Mus musculus: one gene and its partners. The protein of the gene in region 2 binds, or shares a complex with, the protein of the main gene of each other region. Links are inferred from orthologs where the notes say so. Each region holds a gene or a part of one and is shown on either strand. Other genes may lie near its edges.

What was found. Proteins that work in one complex are often made in the same cells at the same time.
Region 1: the proteins of Arl1 (region 2) and Golga4 are in contact, whole or in part, in a crystal structure (PDB 1UPT), measured with the Homo sapiens proteins. The link is inferred for Mus musculus from reciprocal best matches to the Homo sapiens genes ARL1 and GOLGA4. Residues at the interface, in NP_001168.1 of Homo sapiens: Ile49, Gly50, Phe51, Gln64, Trp66, Ser73, Ile74, Pro76, Tyr77, Cys80, Tyr81, Ser83, Glu115; in NP_002069.2 of Homo sapiens: Thr2173, Glu2174, Glu2176, Tyr2177, Lys2180, Val2181, Glu2184, Glu2190, Thr2193, Lys2196, Val2197, Thr2200, Val2201.
Region 3: the proteins of Arl1 (region 2) and Arfip2 are in contact, whole or in part, in a crystal structure (PDB 4DCN), measured with the Homo sapiens proteins. The link is inferred for Mus musculus from reciprocal best matches to the Homo sapiens genes ARL1 and ARFIP2. Residues at the interface, in NP_001168.1 of Homo sapiens: Glu17, Arg19, Gln38, Ile46, Ile49, Gly50, Phe51, Asn52, Val53, Glu54, Thr55, Gln64, Trp66, Ile74, Tyr77, Cys80, Tyr81; in NP_001363487.1 of Homo sapiens: Phe205, Thr212, Lys216, Thr217, Asp220, Asp278, Ile281, Lys282, Phe285, Leu286, Glu288, Asn289, Lys292.

The regions. Positions count from the first base shown.
Region 1 is NC_000075.6:118,553,818-118,559,417, reverse strand, and holds part of Golga4 (golgin subfamily A member 4), read right to left. Parts: intron 3,846-5,600; coding exon 1-3,845. UniProt on the Homo sapiens protein: Involved in vesicular trafficking at the Golgi apparatus level. May play a role in delivery of transport vesicles containing GPI-linked proteins from the trans-Golgi network through its interaction with MACF1. Involved in endosome-to-Golgi trafficking.
Region 2 is NC_000076.6:88,733,011-88,738,610, reverse strand, and holds part of Arl1 (ADP-ribosylation factor-like protein 1), read right to left. Parts: intron 5,069-5,600; coding exon 4,931-5,068; intron 2,714-4,930; coding exon 2,632-2,713; intron 1,521-2,631; coding exon 1,409-1,520; intron 1-1,408. UniProt on the Homo sapiens protein: GTP-binding protein that recruits several effectors, such as golgins, arfaptins and Arf-GEFs to the trans-Golgi network, and modulates their functions at the Golgi complex.
Region 3 is NC_000073.6:105,632,601-105,638,416, reverse strand, and holds the end of Arfip2 (arfaptin-2), read left to right. Parts: intron 1-89; coding exon 90-208; intron 209-376; coding exon 377-598; exon of another isoform or gene 599-691; coding exon of another isoform or gene 692-763; exon of another isoform or gene 764-855; intron 856-1,138; coding exon 1,139-1,296; intron 1,297-1,431; coding exon 1,432-1,606; intron 1,607-2,023; coding exon 2,024-2,179; 3' UTR 2,180-4,216; downstream 4,217-5,816. UniProt on the Homo sapiens protein: Plays a role in constitutive metalloproteinase (MMP) secretion from the trans Golgi network. May have important functions during vesicle biogenesis at certain cargo subdomains, which could be predominantly utilized by secreted MMPs, such as MMP7 and MMP2.

The DNA.
Region 1 (5,600 bases), on a different chromosome or scaffold from region 2:
TCTTTCACCCTTTGCTCTAGGGCCTGGCAAGTGAGCTCCTTTTCCTGGAGGGTTTTCTGAACACTGTCAACCACACTTGCCCAATTCTGCTTCACCCCTGTGTTGTTACCAGTTTCTTCTCCCATGGGCTGAGACACAATTAAGGAACATTTCATCTTTTCTTCGAGTTCTTCTGGAAGACATCCTATCAAAACGTGATCTTCAAGCTGCCTGGCTCTAGTGCAGTCTAACTTTCCAGAGAGCGCCCTGTGCTGAGCCTCAGGCTGCGATGGCCTCGCCTCGCCTTCGCCCTGCTCCAGCCTGCGCAGCAGCTTCTCTTTTTCACTTAAACGTCTTTGCAGCATGCAGAGTCTTTCTTTACAGGCCTTGTGTGTGCAGTCCTGGGAATCTGGAGCCTCTTGCTCGGGAGACGCTGCCACACTTTGCATAGATCTGGACACCGCTGGCACTTCTGGGTGTGGAGAACTCTCCAGGTTTTTAAGTTTGTCTTCTAGGCTGTGAACTTGCTTTTCTCTTTCTTTTAATTGTGCACTCAGCTCACTCAGTCGGTTCTCTGTGTCCTTCGCATACCGCTGGGTTTTCTCTTCCATCTGAGACAAGAGCTGCTTCCTGATGGCAGCGATCTTCTGCTCGGCCTTCCTCTTCAGCTCCACTTTTGCAGCACTTTCTAACTCAAGTTTGTCTTCTAAAGCTTTCAGCTCCCCATCTCTGCTTTTCACACTTGAATTTACATGTTCTAGTTCCTTCTTCACAGTTCCAAGTTCAGCTTCCAGCGAGGACACGTGCTCTCGTAGTCTCAGGACGGTCTCTTCAGCCTCCCTAACCTTGTTGTCTTTCTCTTCTCCCAACTCTTCCAAGTGCTGAAGTCTCTGAACCAGCCCACTGTGCTCAGTGTCCCTCTGCTGGTTGTAATTCTTAAGTGTTTCATTTAGGGACTCAACTTCTTTTTTCCTCTGAGTAACGCAGTCTTCTAATTCAACGACCCTTGCTGTCTGAGTCTTTAACGCAGTCTCTAAGTCACACTCCTTTTTCTCCATCTTGCTCTTCCTGACTTCCATCTCGCCTTTTAAACATTCAAACTTTTTATTCTGCCGATCAAGGTCTTCCTTCAGTAAACATATCTGCTCCTCCTTCTCACGAGCGTCCGTGGCTTTTACGTCTAGCTGTGCCTGCAAGTCTTTAATAGTGCTTTGGTGCTGGGCAAGTCTGGACTGTGCTTTTTTCTTCCACTCTGAGAACTTGTTGGACCAATGATCCACCTGCTCAAGGGCAGACATTTTCTCTTTACTCAGAGCATCGACTTTCAGAGACAGCTCCTGAAGCTGAGCTTGCAGCTGCAGCTCTTGTTCCTCGTGCTGCTTGCTCAGGGCAGAGATGGCTTCGGCCTTGTCACTCGGGCTGATGCTGCTCTCCAGCTGAGCACCGAGATCACTTAACTGCTTGCTAAGACTGGCAATCTCAGACTTCTTCTCCGACAGCTCTTCTCTCAGTAGTGTGACGGCATTGATGTTCTCCGCTAACTCCTTCTTCAGCTGTGTGATGCAGGACTCCTTCTCAGAGGCCGCCTGCCGCTGCTGGCCTCCTTCTTGCTGTAAGGCTTCTTTTTCTGTGAGAAGACCTTCAATGTCAGCCTTCATGGTCTTAATCTGCTTCTCTTTCTCTTCCAGCTGATTGGTAACCTGCTGAAAAGAGCTCTTTAGTGTGCGCTGCTCCTCTGTCAGCTGTGTAAGTTGTGCTTCTAACTCAGAAACCTGGCCCATTCTCCTGAGCAGCGCCTCCCCAACTGTGGCTGTGTGGCGCTGGCATTGGGACAGCCTAGCGAGAATAGCGTCGGCTTTGTCACGGCTGGTGCACACTAGTTCGTTCGTCTTGGCTTCTAACAGAGCTTTGGTTCTCTCACAGCGACTGTCTAGCTGAGATGCTAGCTCCTCAAGCAAGCTTTTGAGGTTCAAGCTCTTGTCCTCCAGGCTCTTCTTGCTGAGCTCATGCAGAGACTTACAGCTCTGGAGCTCCTTCTCCGCAGCCTGCACCTGGCCCGTCAGCTCGGAGACCCTCAGCTGACTCTTGTCTGCCAGCAGTTTCAGCTCAGCCAGCTCTTCTTGAAGGGAAAGCTTTTCACTCAGAGAACAACCCAAATCAGCTTCCAGCTTTTCCACTTGTGACTGCAGCTGAGATTCACGCTCCGAAAGGGAAACGATGACAGCAGACTTCTGCTCCAGCTGTCCCTGCAGGCCAGCTAGTGCCACGTCCTGCCCACTGACCGCCTCTTTCAATCGCGCCACCTCCTTAGTCAGCTCCTCTTTTTCAGACTGGACTATGCGGACCTTCTGCCTCAGCTCTCCCAGCCCCTGCTCCTTCTCCTCCATCTGCTCTGCATGCTTGTCCCGGAGCTCTGCAGCTTGCTGACTCAGCTTCTTTTCCCAGGCCTCTATGACATCATCAAGTTTTCGCTGATGAGCCCCGGTCAGGCTTTCTATCTGCTGCCTCTGGTTCTCCTCCAGTCTCGACACCGTGTCGCTGATTCCAGCTGAGTTAGCCTGTGCCATTTCCAGGATCTGCGCATTGAACTGCTTCTCTTTCTGACTAAGCTCTAGGACAGTATTTTCAAGCTCTTTTTTAAGTTTGGCTTCCTGATCCAACAACTTTTTCTTTGTTTCTTGCATTTCTTTTGCTTTCTGCTTAATTTTTTCCATTCTTTTTTCCTGATTTTTAAATTTGGTTTCATATTCTTCATGCAAAATACTAATGCTCTCTTCTTTAGAAGACAATGTCTGTTTGAGGATCTCGATTTCCTTGGCCTGCTCCTCTCGCATCTGTAAGATGATGTTTTCCTTTTCCATCAGGCTTTGCCGAGCCTGCTCCTTCTCCACAGTACTGTTCTTGAGCTGTGAGTCCTGGAGCTGGGCTAGCGACCTGACCTTCTCCTCCAGCTCACTCCTCTGTCTCTCCAGCTGCTGCACTTGAGCTCTCTGAGCATCTAATTCCTCACACACATGCTTTTTGTGTGTTTCCATCTCCACTACCTGCTTGGTAAGAAGGCTCTTCTCTGTTTCCAGGTCTAACACCTTTTGCTGCATTTGGGCCAGCTGCTCCTCATACGCACCTGCCTGCTCGCGTGCGGCGCTCTGCTCAGAGTGCAAGAGATCTAGTTTGGCCAAGGCCTGCTGGAGCTCCCCGGCAGACTTCTGAAGATGAGCTTCCAGGTCCTGCACCCGGGCCTGCCGCTCTCTCAGGTGCTCGTCCCTCTCGTCCAGCAGAGCCCCCAGCCGACTGAGCTCATCTTTCAGTGCCTTCTCAGCTCTGCGGACGGTTAGTTCTTGTTGCTCACTGATGCTGCCAACCTCACGCTGGTGGTGACGCCGCTGCTCCTCCAGCTCGGCCTCTAAAGCCTGTTTCATTTTATCTGCATCACCTCTTAGGACAGAAAGCTCCTCTGCAAGCTGGTCCCGAGCTCTCAGTGCTTCTGACAGCTCAGAAGAGACAGATTCCAGTTCCATTTGCTTCTTGTCAAGCTTCTCCAAGGTCTTTTCATTCATGTCTTGTATGTGGGCCTGGAAGAGACTCTCCTTCTCCTTCAGTAGTGCATCTTTCTCTTGCTGATACTTCTCTCTGAGCTCCTCCACAGCAGCCTGATGCTGCTGAGAGAGGCTTTGGAGTCTCTCAGTCCACAGGCTGTCCTGCTGCTGCTGGAGGCCCTCCACTTCTGTCCTATGCTGCTCAGCCAGGGCTGTGAGTTCTTTATTGTGCTTATTCTTCTCAGCTTCCAGATGAACAGCCAGATGCTCTGACTGTGTTTTGCTTTCTTGTAAACTTTTTTCCAAAGAGGTTTCCAATTCAAGAATTCTCTGTTAATGAAAATTGGGTGTATTTTACTAACAGCATACTTGTTTACTAGTGATGATAAAAGACTGCAGGGCCTATCTAAAGGCTGTTCTTTGAATGCCTCACATAGCAGACCAAACATAAGAAAAGGGCGACAATCTGCTGTGCTCAGTCACCAATGCAGTCATGAACACACTCAGCTCTGCACTTCCTCTATTTACCATCCCATAATGATCTCAGTATCTCTAGTCAAAAAATTCTAATGGGATAGTCAAAAAGAAAATAAACCACAAAACAAATAATGATAGCAAGCTTGGTAGGAAGATGGATCTCCACACTCTATGCTTTTAGGTTTATAATAGTATTTTATTACTTTTATAACAATTTTGAGGGGAAAAAAAATCTCAGTTTTCTACCCCCAAAGGCAAATACTTAAAAGCTTTTAAAATTTTATTATTCATATACACATAAGTGTATATACACATATAAGTGCATATACACATAAGTGGGGGGTGAGGAGGAGGAGGAGGAAGAAGAGGAGGAAGAGGAAGAGGAGGAAGAAGAGGATGAGGAGGAGGAAGAACAGGACATGAGGAGGAAGAGGAAGAAGAAGAGGAGAAAGAAGAAAAGGAAGAGGAGGAGGAAGAGGAGGAGGGTGCAGCTGTGGCTGCAGAGGGCAGGGAAGCAGGAAGCTGGCTCTCTTTCTGCACTGTGGTTGGGGATCAGGTTCAGATGGCCAGGACTGTACAGCAAACACATTATCCTGAGCTGTCTCATCACCAACCTGCACAGTTTTGTTTTGTTTTTCCTTAAAGAATATTCTTAACCATATTTAACCAAAGGTTGCTGTTCTCTCACAGAATATTAATTCTTCACTCTGAACAGCGTCAGACTGGAACAGTCCTAAGACACTGACAGGTCCAGCCCCTTGGTGACTGCAGAGATGCACTGCAGAGACAGCAGTGCAGATTCAGCCGCGTCAATGCCATCTCACCGCACCACGTCAGTGTCTGAACTGTCCGTAAAGGAAGAGCAAAGATGAACTTACAACTATGGGAAGTGTGACTGTTGCATGGCCTAACAAGACTGACAGATCTAAATACCGTCAGCACGTTCCTGTGGCAGGTCACACATCTCTAACAGTGACAAGAAAAGGGCAGAAAACTACATACACTTACACTATAACAAATACTTCATTCCAGGACTAGAGAAATGTCTTCAGGGACACATGCATCCCTACACACACCCCCAGCTCTGGGGACAGTCTCACAGACACACACATCCCCAGCTCTAGGGACAGTCTCACAGACACACACACACCCCAGCTCTAGGGACAGTCTCACAGACACACACACACCCCAGCTCTGGGGACAGTCTCACAGACACACACACCCCCAGCTCTGGGGACAGTCTCACAGACACACACACCCCCAGCTCTGGGGACAGTCTCACAGACACACACACCCCCAGCTCTGGGGACAGTCTCACAGACACACACATCCCCAGCTCTGGGGACAGTCTCACAGACACACACATCCCCAGCTCTAGGGACAGTCTCACAGACACACACACACCCCAGCTCTGGGGACAGTCTCACAAACACACACACCCCCAGCTCTGGGGACAGTCTCACAGACACACACACCCCCAGCTCTGGGGACAGTCTCACAGACACACACACCCCCAGCTCTGGGGACAGTCTCACAGACACACACATCCCCAGCTCTGGGGACAGTCTCACAGACACACACACCCCCAGCTCTGGGGACAGTCTCACA
Region 2 (5,600 bases):
AGCTGTGTTCTGACCTCCATGTACAAATGTGTACACACGCAAACACACACGCCCACCACACACAAGCTAGTAACTTAACTTGGCTTACCTTAAATTAAGAGCTCTGAGTTTTCTGAGACTAATGAAATGATTACAAGAAGCTAGAGGGCTGGATTTTTATTCAATCTATCTTTCCAATAGGAAGTAACATGTACTTTTTTTTTTTTTTTTTTTTTTTTGGTTTTTTGGTTTTGGTTTTTTTCGAGACAGGGTTTCTCTGTGTAGCCCTGGCTGTCCTGGAACTCACTCTGTAGACCAGGCTGGACTCAAACTCAGAAATCTGCCTGCCTCTGCCTCCGGAGTGCTGGGATTAAAGGTGTGCGCCACCACCGCCTGGCTGAAACATGCACTTTATAAAAAGAACAGAAGGGATGGAGGATAGATACACAGAAGAGAGAGAGAGAGAGAGAGAGAGAATGGGCTACAGGTATGGATCTGGTTAACTGCACTTGCTGCTTATGTAGGCATCGGTCCCACATTTGATTCCCAAACTCACATGGTAGATTACAGCTGTGTATAATCAACACCTTCTTCCCACCTCTTCAGGCAACAGGTACGTATAGAACCATTCGTGTAGCCAAACACACACACACACTCTCTCTCTCTCACACTCACACACACACACACAAATAAAATCTTTAAGGGAGAGTTAGCCCAGTGATTAAGAATACTTGTTAATCGGGTGTGGTGGTGCTCGCCTTTAACCCCAGCACTTGGGAGGCAGAGGCAGGCGGATTTCTGAGTTCAAGGCCAGTCTGGTCTACAGAGTGAGTTCCAGGACAGCCAGGGCTACACAGAGAAACCCTGCCTCGAAAAACCAAAAAAAAAAAAAAAAGAGTCCTAGCTGCTCCTGCAGAGGACAAAGGTTCGATTCCTAGTGCCTACACAAAGGCTCACAATCATTTATATCTCCACTCCCAGCGCATCTGATGCTCTCTTCTGACCTCCACAGATACCATGCATATACATGGTACACACACATAATGCAGACAAAACAAATATACAAATAAATACGTCTCTGAGTATCTGTGTGTGTTTTCATGTTTACTTTTTATGAGGATGTTATATGCATCATGTATGCCTGCGGATCCACTGGAACTCAAGTAACAGATGGCTCAGTTGTCACTTGCACACTGCCAGCTGCCATACAGGTGCTGAGAATCGAACTCACGTACTCTGAGAGAGCAACCAGTGCTCTGAACCACTAAACCAGCCCCCAAGAAATATATCTTTTAAAAAAAAAGGAAAAGAATGGAAGAAAATACCTTTGAGTGTTTTTAATTATTATTGCACATGATAATATACACAAGAAAAAGTAAGCAAATGTAAGTGACCCCTCTAGTCCCTCCATACTTAACTGTCTGCTTACCTCCAACATGGCAACTAACTCAGACTTGGAAATGCCAATTCGATCTCGGTCACAACTGTCAACGACATAGATGACTGCATCTGTGTTTGAATAATAACATCTCCAGTATGGCCTAAAAAAAATTCAAAACATGTTATTCCTTGCAAAACACCTGACATGTCAGTTTACATGCTGGCCTTGGTCAATGATGGGAGATGGGTTACTTGTCAGCCCGGCTTGATTTACCGTTTCTGATCACTCTCAGTATGACTGGGTTGACAGAAAAGTGATAAATATTAAATTACAGACATAAATCTACAGTTTCAAGCTTTGAACTTCAAGATAAGAAGATACAAATTTTAATGTGACTTTTTATGTCCTTAATCACTAATAACAACCAGGAGTAGAATTGTATACAATTAGAAAAAATCTCAAATCAGGTGGTGGAACACCCATAACTCCAGCACTTGGAGGCAGAGGCAAGCTGATCTCTGTAAACTTCAAGGCCAGGCTGATCTACAGAGCAAATTTCAGGATAACAGAGAGACCCTGTCTCAAAATAACAAAAACAAAACCATAATAATAATCATCTCAAAGGTAACTTACCAAATAAAATGAGTCACTGAACAACAGAATATTCAGTTGACTGTATTACTAATCAATCTCCTCTCTCTCTTTCCCTCCCTCCCCCCCCCTCTCTCTCTTTTATTTTGTTTTCTATGAAAGTCTCACCCTGGCTGACCTGGAACTAGATATGTAGACCAGACAGGCCTCTAACTCAGAGCTCCTCCTGCCTCTGCCTCCCAGTGCTGGGATTAAAGATGTGCACCAGTATTTTTAGTATTTTTAACAGCAACTTTATTAATACTCTAAGCTGGTCCTCCAGTCACTGACATTTGCCAAGTACTAGATTTCAGGAGGTTCCTGCATTTCTATCAGCCTGCATGGACTTACATGATGCCAAACAGTCTCTCAGAGGGGACAAGGATAAAACCCAAACAAGGGGCCAGTTTTTCAAACTTCCGGGTTCTCGTGAGAGAATTTTCATTTAAGTGCTTTTCTGAAAAATTGAGTTCCTTAGATTTTAATCACTGGATGCTCTAAGGAAGATATGCAGTTTCAAATTCTACCATATTTTAGACAATATCTAATTTCCAACAGGAGATATATTTTGGTTTAGTGTTGTCAGCACTAAGAGCCATTAATGTTAAATACCACCAAATGATCTGGTGTTTACACCATACCTGATACTTGTCTGTCCTCCTAAGTCCCAAACTTGGAATTTGAGATTTTTGTATGTCACCGTCTCCACATTAAATCCAATAGCTGAAAGAGAAATCAAATCAACATATATGTAAACTAATATACTCTACCTTTACAAAGTGTCCAACTTCACTGAGTTTTAGCAACTGCTTGTAATTTCTCGTCACATTATGGGCTGGATTAATATAACACTTAAGACAATATCCTCTCATATTCATTCATTCATTCATATTCATATTCATTCTCTCTCTCTCTTGGCTATCGAGCCCCAGACATCTGCTCTGCCAGTCTGCCTCCTCCCTGCTGGAATCATAATTGTGCACTCACAATTATGGTCCCACATCCATGCAGTAGGTAGATTTCCCCAGCCCCAGAAGTCTATTAAACCACCCTGAGCACTGGTATCTAAGTGTTCAGAAAGTCTTGTACAGTTATAGATTCAAAAGCTGAAGTTCAAGCTTGGCGTGGTGGCGTACGCCTTTAATCCCAGCACTCGGGAGGCAGAGGAAGGCGGATTTCTGAGTTCGAGGCCAGCCTGGTCTACAAAGTGAGTTCCAGGACAGTCAGGGCTACACAAAGAAACCCTGTCTCAAAAAACCAAAAAAAAAAAAAAAAAGAAAGAAAGAAAGAAAAAGCTGAAGCTCTGGCAGACAGTGAATAATGAAAATCAATATAGAAAACTAGGCTCTAGATTCAAAAAAGCCATGCTCTCTACAGGCTGCAGCCGTACAGACCCTCTATGGGCATCTCAAGAGCTCACTCGTAACAAGGTCATAGCTCAACAGTCAATATCTCATCCCATTTGTCTGCCATCCTTCTTAGGTGTGCCTCTCTTAGGTGTGCCTCGACACCACACAGCTGAAACCAGAAACTATTTTCAAAGAAAATCTAAGTGAGGGAGAAAGTAATTTTGAAAACACTTAGGGTGGACATGTACAAAGTTTGCTCTCATTTCCTAAACTTAGAAAAAAAAGAAAAGAAAAAGTCAGGCCAGGCCTTTAATCCCAGGACTTAGGAGGCAGAGGCCGGCCAGTCTGGTCTACAAAGTGAGTTCCAGGGCTTCCAGGGCTATAAAAAGAAATCCTGTCTCAGAAAAGAGACAAACAAAGTCAGAGTGAAACTGACTTACGACCACCACTGATTTTTGTTTCCTATCTTTAATGATGTGTTGGTAAATGATGTATTTGGCAGGTAAGCATGCACATTACATCTGAAAAATAAAACCATGGCAAAAGTAGCAAACTAAAAAGCAAGTTCCTGTCTTCCTCAGAACTAGGCATATGCAGGTCTATGTCTACCACCGTCAAGAACTGTTCACGTGCAAACAGCCCACACTGCAGTCCACAGGCCCTGTAGCACTGAGCACTGCAGAGGCCACCAAAACCTGCCCATGTGGAGAGGAGAGAATCTCGGAAGTAAGAATCAAAGGAAAGGAAATGGGCAAAAGGCTGCAGAAGGAGATAACAGATGCTACAAAGTCCAAACACTCCTTGTTAAAAGCAAAAGAGAAAAACCCCCAGAAGGTTTAATAGTGACGTAATGGGAATGTCTAACAGAATCATTCAAAGCACACAATTTAAAATCCTGAGCAAGTTCTACAGATTCAACTTAATTAAAATATATTAATCTTATCTCTCTAAATTTAGCTCAACAAATGAAAAGGTGTAAACACCAAGAGTATCCACCCCCAAGTAGTAAAATAGGAAGGACTTTCTACAAATAACTTTCTAAGACAGCAGGAATAACGAGGCCACAAGCGGGAGGTAAACTACAGTGCCGGTGTTTCTTCTCCTTGGTTTCAGGGGCCAGGTCATTTCAAATGCTCTGCTTCTACAATTCCCAGTTTTAAAAGTGATCTACAGAATTACTTAGAAGAAACTACACTGTGATTTAGGCAATAAATATGCAGGAAAAAAAGGTGCTTTGTGTACAATAATACCGATTTAACATCTACATCCATCAACATACAAGTTAGCAAAGTACTTTATACGCCTCATTGACTCCTCAAATCCAGTAGACAGACAGTATCTTCATTAAGCAGTAACGATTTAGAGACTTAAACCAACTATAGCTCTAAACAGAGAAGCCTGTTTGTATACCTAGGCAGGGAACCTTAAATTGCACCAAAATGCTTCTTAGCTGTTTTGTTTTGGTTTTTTTTTTAAGCATTGTCAGTATCATTTCCATAGTAGAAGTTTACAAACCCCCATCATATGACTCGTTTATTCAGAAAGCTGTATTAGATAGAAACATGAAAAGTGTTATTAAACCAATACTTACTGGGAATAGTAGTAACAACTTCTCCAACCTGTAACCTGTACAAAATTGTTGTTTTTCCAGCACCATCTAATCCCAAAATTAAAATCCTCATTTCTCTGGTTCCAAAGAGACTGGAAAAAATACTTGAGAAAAAGCCACCTACAAGATAATAAAAGCAAAAATGTATTTGATGTCATCTTGTAAATTAGGTCCGCAAAACATTTAGCCTTTTGAAAGCTATATGCCCAATTAAATATCAAAACATTGTCCTGAAGGCACAGGTAGATACTCTTGCTTCCAATGAAAGATGTTATTCAACAGCAAACAGTAACACGTGAAGTTCCCAGGTCCTGAGAAATGTCAGGCAGTCAGATCACATCATCAGACATTTAGACACTGCCCCTCAGGAGTCCAGTTCATTTTCTCATCAATAGAATAAGGACACGGTAACTTAGTGCAGTCTCCTTCTTACCCGTAGATACCACAGCGCCAGGCAGGGGAAAAGCGGCACAATGGGGTGCTCTGAGTGACAGAGCACTCACTGTACAGTGGCAGTACCAATATAAACTTTTAGGGCACTCTCCACTAACCCACAGAACTGCCTCAACAAACCACTTTTGTTGTTGCTTGCTTATTATTATTTGGGGGCAGTATTTGTTGAGATAGGATCTTTTACTTTGCAGCCCTCGAT
Region 3 (5,816 bases), on a different chromosome or scaffold from region 2:
GTGTTTGGGGGGGTGGGGGGGAGGAGTGAGCCACAGAAGTGTATGGTTTTATCTAAGAGAAACTGGTGTCAGAGAACTTGGTCCTTTAGGGTCTGGCCGACATCCATCTCACAGCACGTCACCCTCTGGCCCTGGTGACGAGGTGGCCCGGGGCATCGCTGGAGAAAAGTTTGACATCGTCAAGAAATGGGGCATCAACACATATAAGGTAAGATTCAAGTGCTTCTCCTCAGAAATTCTCCGTGGGGACCTTTTCCCTTTCCCCAGGTCTTACTGTGTAGTCTTTGCTATGACTAAGAGAACGGGGGTGCTGGAGTAGTTCATTGTTGGGGTGGAGTTTAGATTTCTGACCTCACCCCCCCCCCCTTCCAATCAGTGCACAAAGCAGCTGTTATCAGAGAGATTTGGCCGAGGCTCCCGGACTGTGGATCTGGAGCTAGAGCTGCAGATTGAGTTGCTGCGTGAGACGAAGCGCAAGTATGAAAGTGTCCTGCAGCTGGGCCGGGCACTGACAGCCCACCTCTACAGCCTGTTGCAGACCCAGCATGCACTAGGTGATGCCTTTGCTGACCTCAGCCAGAAGTCCCCAGAGCTTCAGGTGCCTCAGCCAAAACAAAGAGGGTGGGGGTACTGGGCCCTGGTCCTTCCAGGCAGGCTTTCCTCAGCCTCCCTCCCTCCCTCCCTCCTGCAGCCCCCAGGGAGAACCCCTCTGGGGTGCGCCCAGTCCTGCCCCCAGCATCACTCACCTATGGAGGCAGCCTAAGGGTTTGTACAGAGGCCCAGAAGTTGGAAGGGTTGTGGGAGAGGGCTCACCAGTACCTCATAAGTAACCTGTCTCCACATCATCAAGAATGCCTTTGGTGCTTGGCCTAATCAGATTCCCTCCCTGCCTGCTGCACTAGCTCTCCGTGTTCTGTCTTGTAAACTCACCTAAGAACTCGTACTCCCCACACTCTTACCTCAGGCATCGCCAAGGGACCCTACTAACTTTGTGGCTAAGAGAGCCTTGCTAGAGGCAGTCTGGTTGTTGTAGTTTTGATGGCTGTTTCTTCTTTGGGATGGAGGGATATGAAGGGCTCTACAGCTGCAGTCAGGTAAGGAGTGTTACTCAATGCCTGTGCCTCCCTTCTGCCCTTAGGAGGAATTTGGCTATAATGCAGAGACACAAAAGCTGCTGTGCAAGAATGGGGAGACGCTGCTAGGGGCTGTGAACTTCTTTGTCTCTAGCATCAACACACTGGTCACCAAGACCATGGAAGACACACTCATGACTGTCAAACAGTATGAGGCTGCCAGGTGTGGGCCCACGGTTTGGGAAGTTGGCTGGCATGGGTGAAAATGCAAACATTAGGGGCATACAGATTCAGAAAGGAAAGGAAATATGAGTGTGGATGAAGAGGTGGAGACCAGCCTTTATCACCCCCTTCCCAGGCTGGAATATGATGCCTACCGGACAGACTTAGAAGAGCTGAGCCTAGGGCCCCGGGATGCAGGGACTCGTGGTCGACTTGAGAGTGCCCAGGCCACTTTCCAGACCCATCGGGACAAATATGAGAAGCTGCGGGGAGATGTGGCCATCAAGCTGAAGTTCCTGGAAGAAAACAAGGTGCTGCCCTACTCCCTTGGTCCTAAGTCACCTAAGTCCTAAGACACAGTACCTATCCCTTCAGACCCTTCTGATTGTTGGGTGCGGAGCTGCCCCTGGCTAGGGAGTGGGTTGTTCCCCTAGCCCCTTGAAACCTGAGCACTTTCAGTTCACCCTCCTCATCACTGGCTTCTAGTCCCAGTAGCATAACTGAAAAAAACATTGCCCCTTGGCTGGGGTTCCAGAACCCTAAACCCAGCAGATTAAGTCAGGTTTCTTTCTTCATATTGCCCCTTCTCTTTTGACTTCTTGAAAACTCCCTACCCCAAAACACTGTCAGCAGAGTCTATTTGCTCTGGACTGTGTCTGGGCTTAGGCTTGTAGCCCCTCCCTGAGGGTGCCTGAGTCTAGCCTTAGCTGACCCTGCTGGGCCCCCAGATCAAGGTGATGCACAAGCAGCTGCTGCTCTTCCACAATGCCGTGTCTGCCTACTTCGCTGGGAACCAGAAACAGCTGGAGCAGACTCTTCAGCAGTTCAACATCAAGCTGCGGCCTCCAGGAGCCGAGAAGCCTTCCTGGTTAGAGGAGCAGTGAGCAGCTCCCAGCCCAACTTGGCTATCAAGAAGGACACTGGGCGGGGCAGCCCCAGGGTGGAGGAGATTGGACATGGGATGTCCTTTGCCACTTACTTGCTGGCTTGGGCTCGTTTTTTCTGACTGGGGTCTGACACCAGTTTTGCCCACTGCTGTGGTCTGAAGAGGCCCGTAGGCCCGTAGGCCCAGAAGCTGCTGTCCTGCCCTTTATCTTCCTGGCCACTGGGCTTCATTCCCAGATCTTTTCCTTTCACTCCACAGCCAAAGGCTATGACAAAACACTCCCTGGCCAATGGCATCACTCCTCAGGCCTATCCCCAGCTCTTGGGATGTGCCCCTGACCAAAGACAGGACCTCAAAAGGTTCTGTCAGCCAATGGCAGCTCTTCTTGGGCTCCTCTGGGCCAATAGTGTTGCCTCCAGTACCCTTTGTTCCCTCCTCAATGTGTGTCCATTGCAGAGAAGGGGACTGGGACCAAAGGGGTGGGGATAATGGGGAGCTGCATTTGTGGCCCTGCATCTGAATGGGCCCTCCCCTCATCCACCCACCCAGTTGAACTGTGCTTAGAACCCCAGAAGACTGGGTTCTAGCACTAGGAATAAACCTTTCATAAAAGCAGGCCCAGTGAGGTCAATTTGTGGGGGACTAGAGGAGGGTGGATTGGTAAGAAATGCCCAGTAATCTTGCATTCAGTTCCTATGAATTCAGAAGAGCTGCAGCTAAGTTTGAGAAGCTGCCGAAGGCCTGATGCCCCTCACTTTCAGAGCCAACGCTTTATTTTTCTCTTCCCGTTAGCACCAAGGCAATCTATGTGTCTGAAGAGCATAGGGTCCAGAGGGGGTTGGGCCGGCTAACCATCATGCATTCAATCATACAGCCGATGTTTACTGAGTGCTTTTATTTGCCAGGCACTGCGTTAGGCCCTGGGGAAACATCAGTGAATAAAACGCAGTCCCTGCTCACAGTGCTTAAGGCCTAGTGGGGGATAGAGACAAGTAACCAGGCAACTACAATACAATGAGAAATGCTAGGATACAAGATGCAGTGGGAGCACCAGATAAGGGGCATCTAGCTTAGACTGAGGTAGGGATGGCGATGCCAGTTTAAAAGCTGAGATCTGAAAAGTAAGTAGCGAACAGCTGAGGAAGAAAGGCCAATGCTCATAAAGTCTGAATAAGAATTCAGTCCAGAATGAAAAATTAAGTGGGTGAGAGACAAGAGGCAGACTTGATCTTTGGAGAAATGGAACTAAGAAACCTCTTAGAGGTCTGGCAGCACGGGAGAAGCGAAGTGTAGAGAACATACTTCCTGGACTATTGGGTAGCCTAGTGACCCTTGCTTGTCACTCTAAGCATGAACCCTGCCTGAGCTCCTTCACATCCAGTGAGTAGCTACCGCAGAGATAAAGGCATTCTCACCGCACCTGCTGCAACCTGCACTGCTCTTGTTGAAGTCAAACCTTAATTGTATAAGAAATCACAAGAAAACTCCCAGCAGCACTTTAGACAGGGCTTGAGTGCGGTCAACTACAGGTCCAAAGACAACTGCAGACTTCTTCAGCATTCTGTCCCCTCTAGAGGGTGGAGAAAGGGGACCAACCCAGTCAGCAGGTTCCCACAGCACAGGGTGCACACCACTCTGACTTGACTCTTTGTCAGTGATAACTGCAATCCCCAGCCAGGCTTCTGGGGCTTTAATTAGCCTTTATGTAGTCAGCTGTCTGCCTTGATTATTAGAGGTGCTGGTTCTCTTATTAGCCCCCTACTTTATGGGCCACTGAGGATTTTTGTTGTAAGGGCATTGAATCTTCAAATGGTTGGAGACAGAACCTGAAAGCAGAGCCCAAACATGGCTCCACCATTTTCTAGCTGATTAGGATTAATGCCTGGGGAACATAAGCTCGCTCCGCTCCTTCCGTTGTAAAGCTGCTAATAAAAGCAGCTACCGATTACGGTTATGCGTATTAAATGAGATAATGTATGTAAAGTGATTAGCTCTGTCTGGCACGTAATAAACACTCAGTCCCTGTTAATGTACAGTTTTTATTGTATTGTACCTAGGCTGTTTTTCCATAATGCAATGATTCTGAGAATTGCTCTGGGTCTTTGGTGTAAGGAAGGAGTCGCGCTGGATGGTCTAAACCAAATTTCCTCAGGCGGCACCTGAGGAACCTAAAACCGAAAAGAAGTCTCCCACTTGGCCTGCAAACCCCTTCTCCTAGAGTTCTGGGTTGAGGTACAGGTGGTCCCCCTCCCTCTTGCTCAGTGGAAACCAAACTAGCAGATTTCACAGGAGCCTCCGGGAAAGCCCAGGAAGGAGCGACCAGAAGCAGCAGGAACGGACTCTCGGAGTACTAAAGCTGGTTCTAGCTGCTTTTACTTGAAGGCATCAAGTGCCACTATCAGACCTCAGCTACTCACCCTCGCCCTTAGGCCTCGTGAGCCAGAGGCAGCAGGCGAGGATCCCGGATCTAGGATCTAGGATCCGGGATCCGCTTGCCAGCTCCAAACCGCACCGCAGAGGGAGAGCCAAGAGCCGCAAGGGCGGAGGGGCTGGCGGGCGTGGTCTGAGAGGTGGGGGCGTGGTTGGGGCGGGCCTTCGGCTCCGGAGTCGCCCCCTCCCCCGACCGGTCCGCAGCCCCGCCCCGGCCCCTCCCTCCGGCCTGTGCGACGGGTCCAGCGGCAGCGGCGCCGGCGCGGGGACAGACGGAGGCGCGGGACGTGGGGCGGCGCCGCGGGCAGGGCCGGGCGGACGGGCGCTGGCAGCGGGGGCAGCGCTGCGGGCCGCTCCGAGTGGCTGCAGTCCGGGCCTTGCCCTCCCATCCTGCTCCCACGCCGTGAGTGCGCCGCGCGGGCCCCAAGGGTGCGTCTGGTCCACCTGTGTATCGGGGTGCGGGTCCTGGTGCTAGCGGCGGTGTGTGGGTCCGAGCGTCTTTGGGTGGGGGCGCGGATGCTTTTCAAAAGCTGTTCCTGTCTCTGTCCACGTGAGGCGTGTCCGTGTCTGTGAGAGCAGCGGGGGATTCTTTGGGCTGTGGCTGCTCACGTGAGGTCCGTGTTTGCGGGCTGTGTGGTGGGGGGAGGCGCGGGTGGATGGGTGATGGTTCATTTTAGGAGCGCGGGTTTTGGGAGTCTCTGTGTTGGCGGAGGGTACCGAAAGCTGCGGCCGATGGTGTTGGGGGTGGGTGGGTGGGGTTGCTGATTGGCACTCTGGAATCTTGTGGCCCCGCTCGTCCAAAGGGTTCCTTTCTCCTGAGTGCAGACTCCTCCACCCCTGCTCCCTTCTCCGTCCTCCTTAGGCACCAAGAAGCCCACCAGCCAGGATGGAGGACATCCTTCCTCCACTGCGGGCACTGCTTGCTGGACAGGAAGCTTCCTGCAGAGGCTGTGTCTTGTAGGAAAGGACCCCTCTAGTTCTCCCTTAGCCTGGGCCCTGACTGGAGGACTCCTGTCCCCTCCCTGGTTTCCACCTCCTTCCCCCTGCACTTGGTTTCAGAACCTGGGCCACAAATCTGCAGGGACAGATGGTTGCAGGTTGGAAGGGCAGGCTGCACCCCAGGGAGGTCATTCTGACTTCAAAAAAAAAAAAAAAAAAAAAAAAAAAGGCAGGCCCTGTGCATGTTCCTGGTGTGGGAGTCCTAT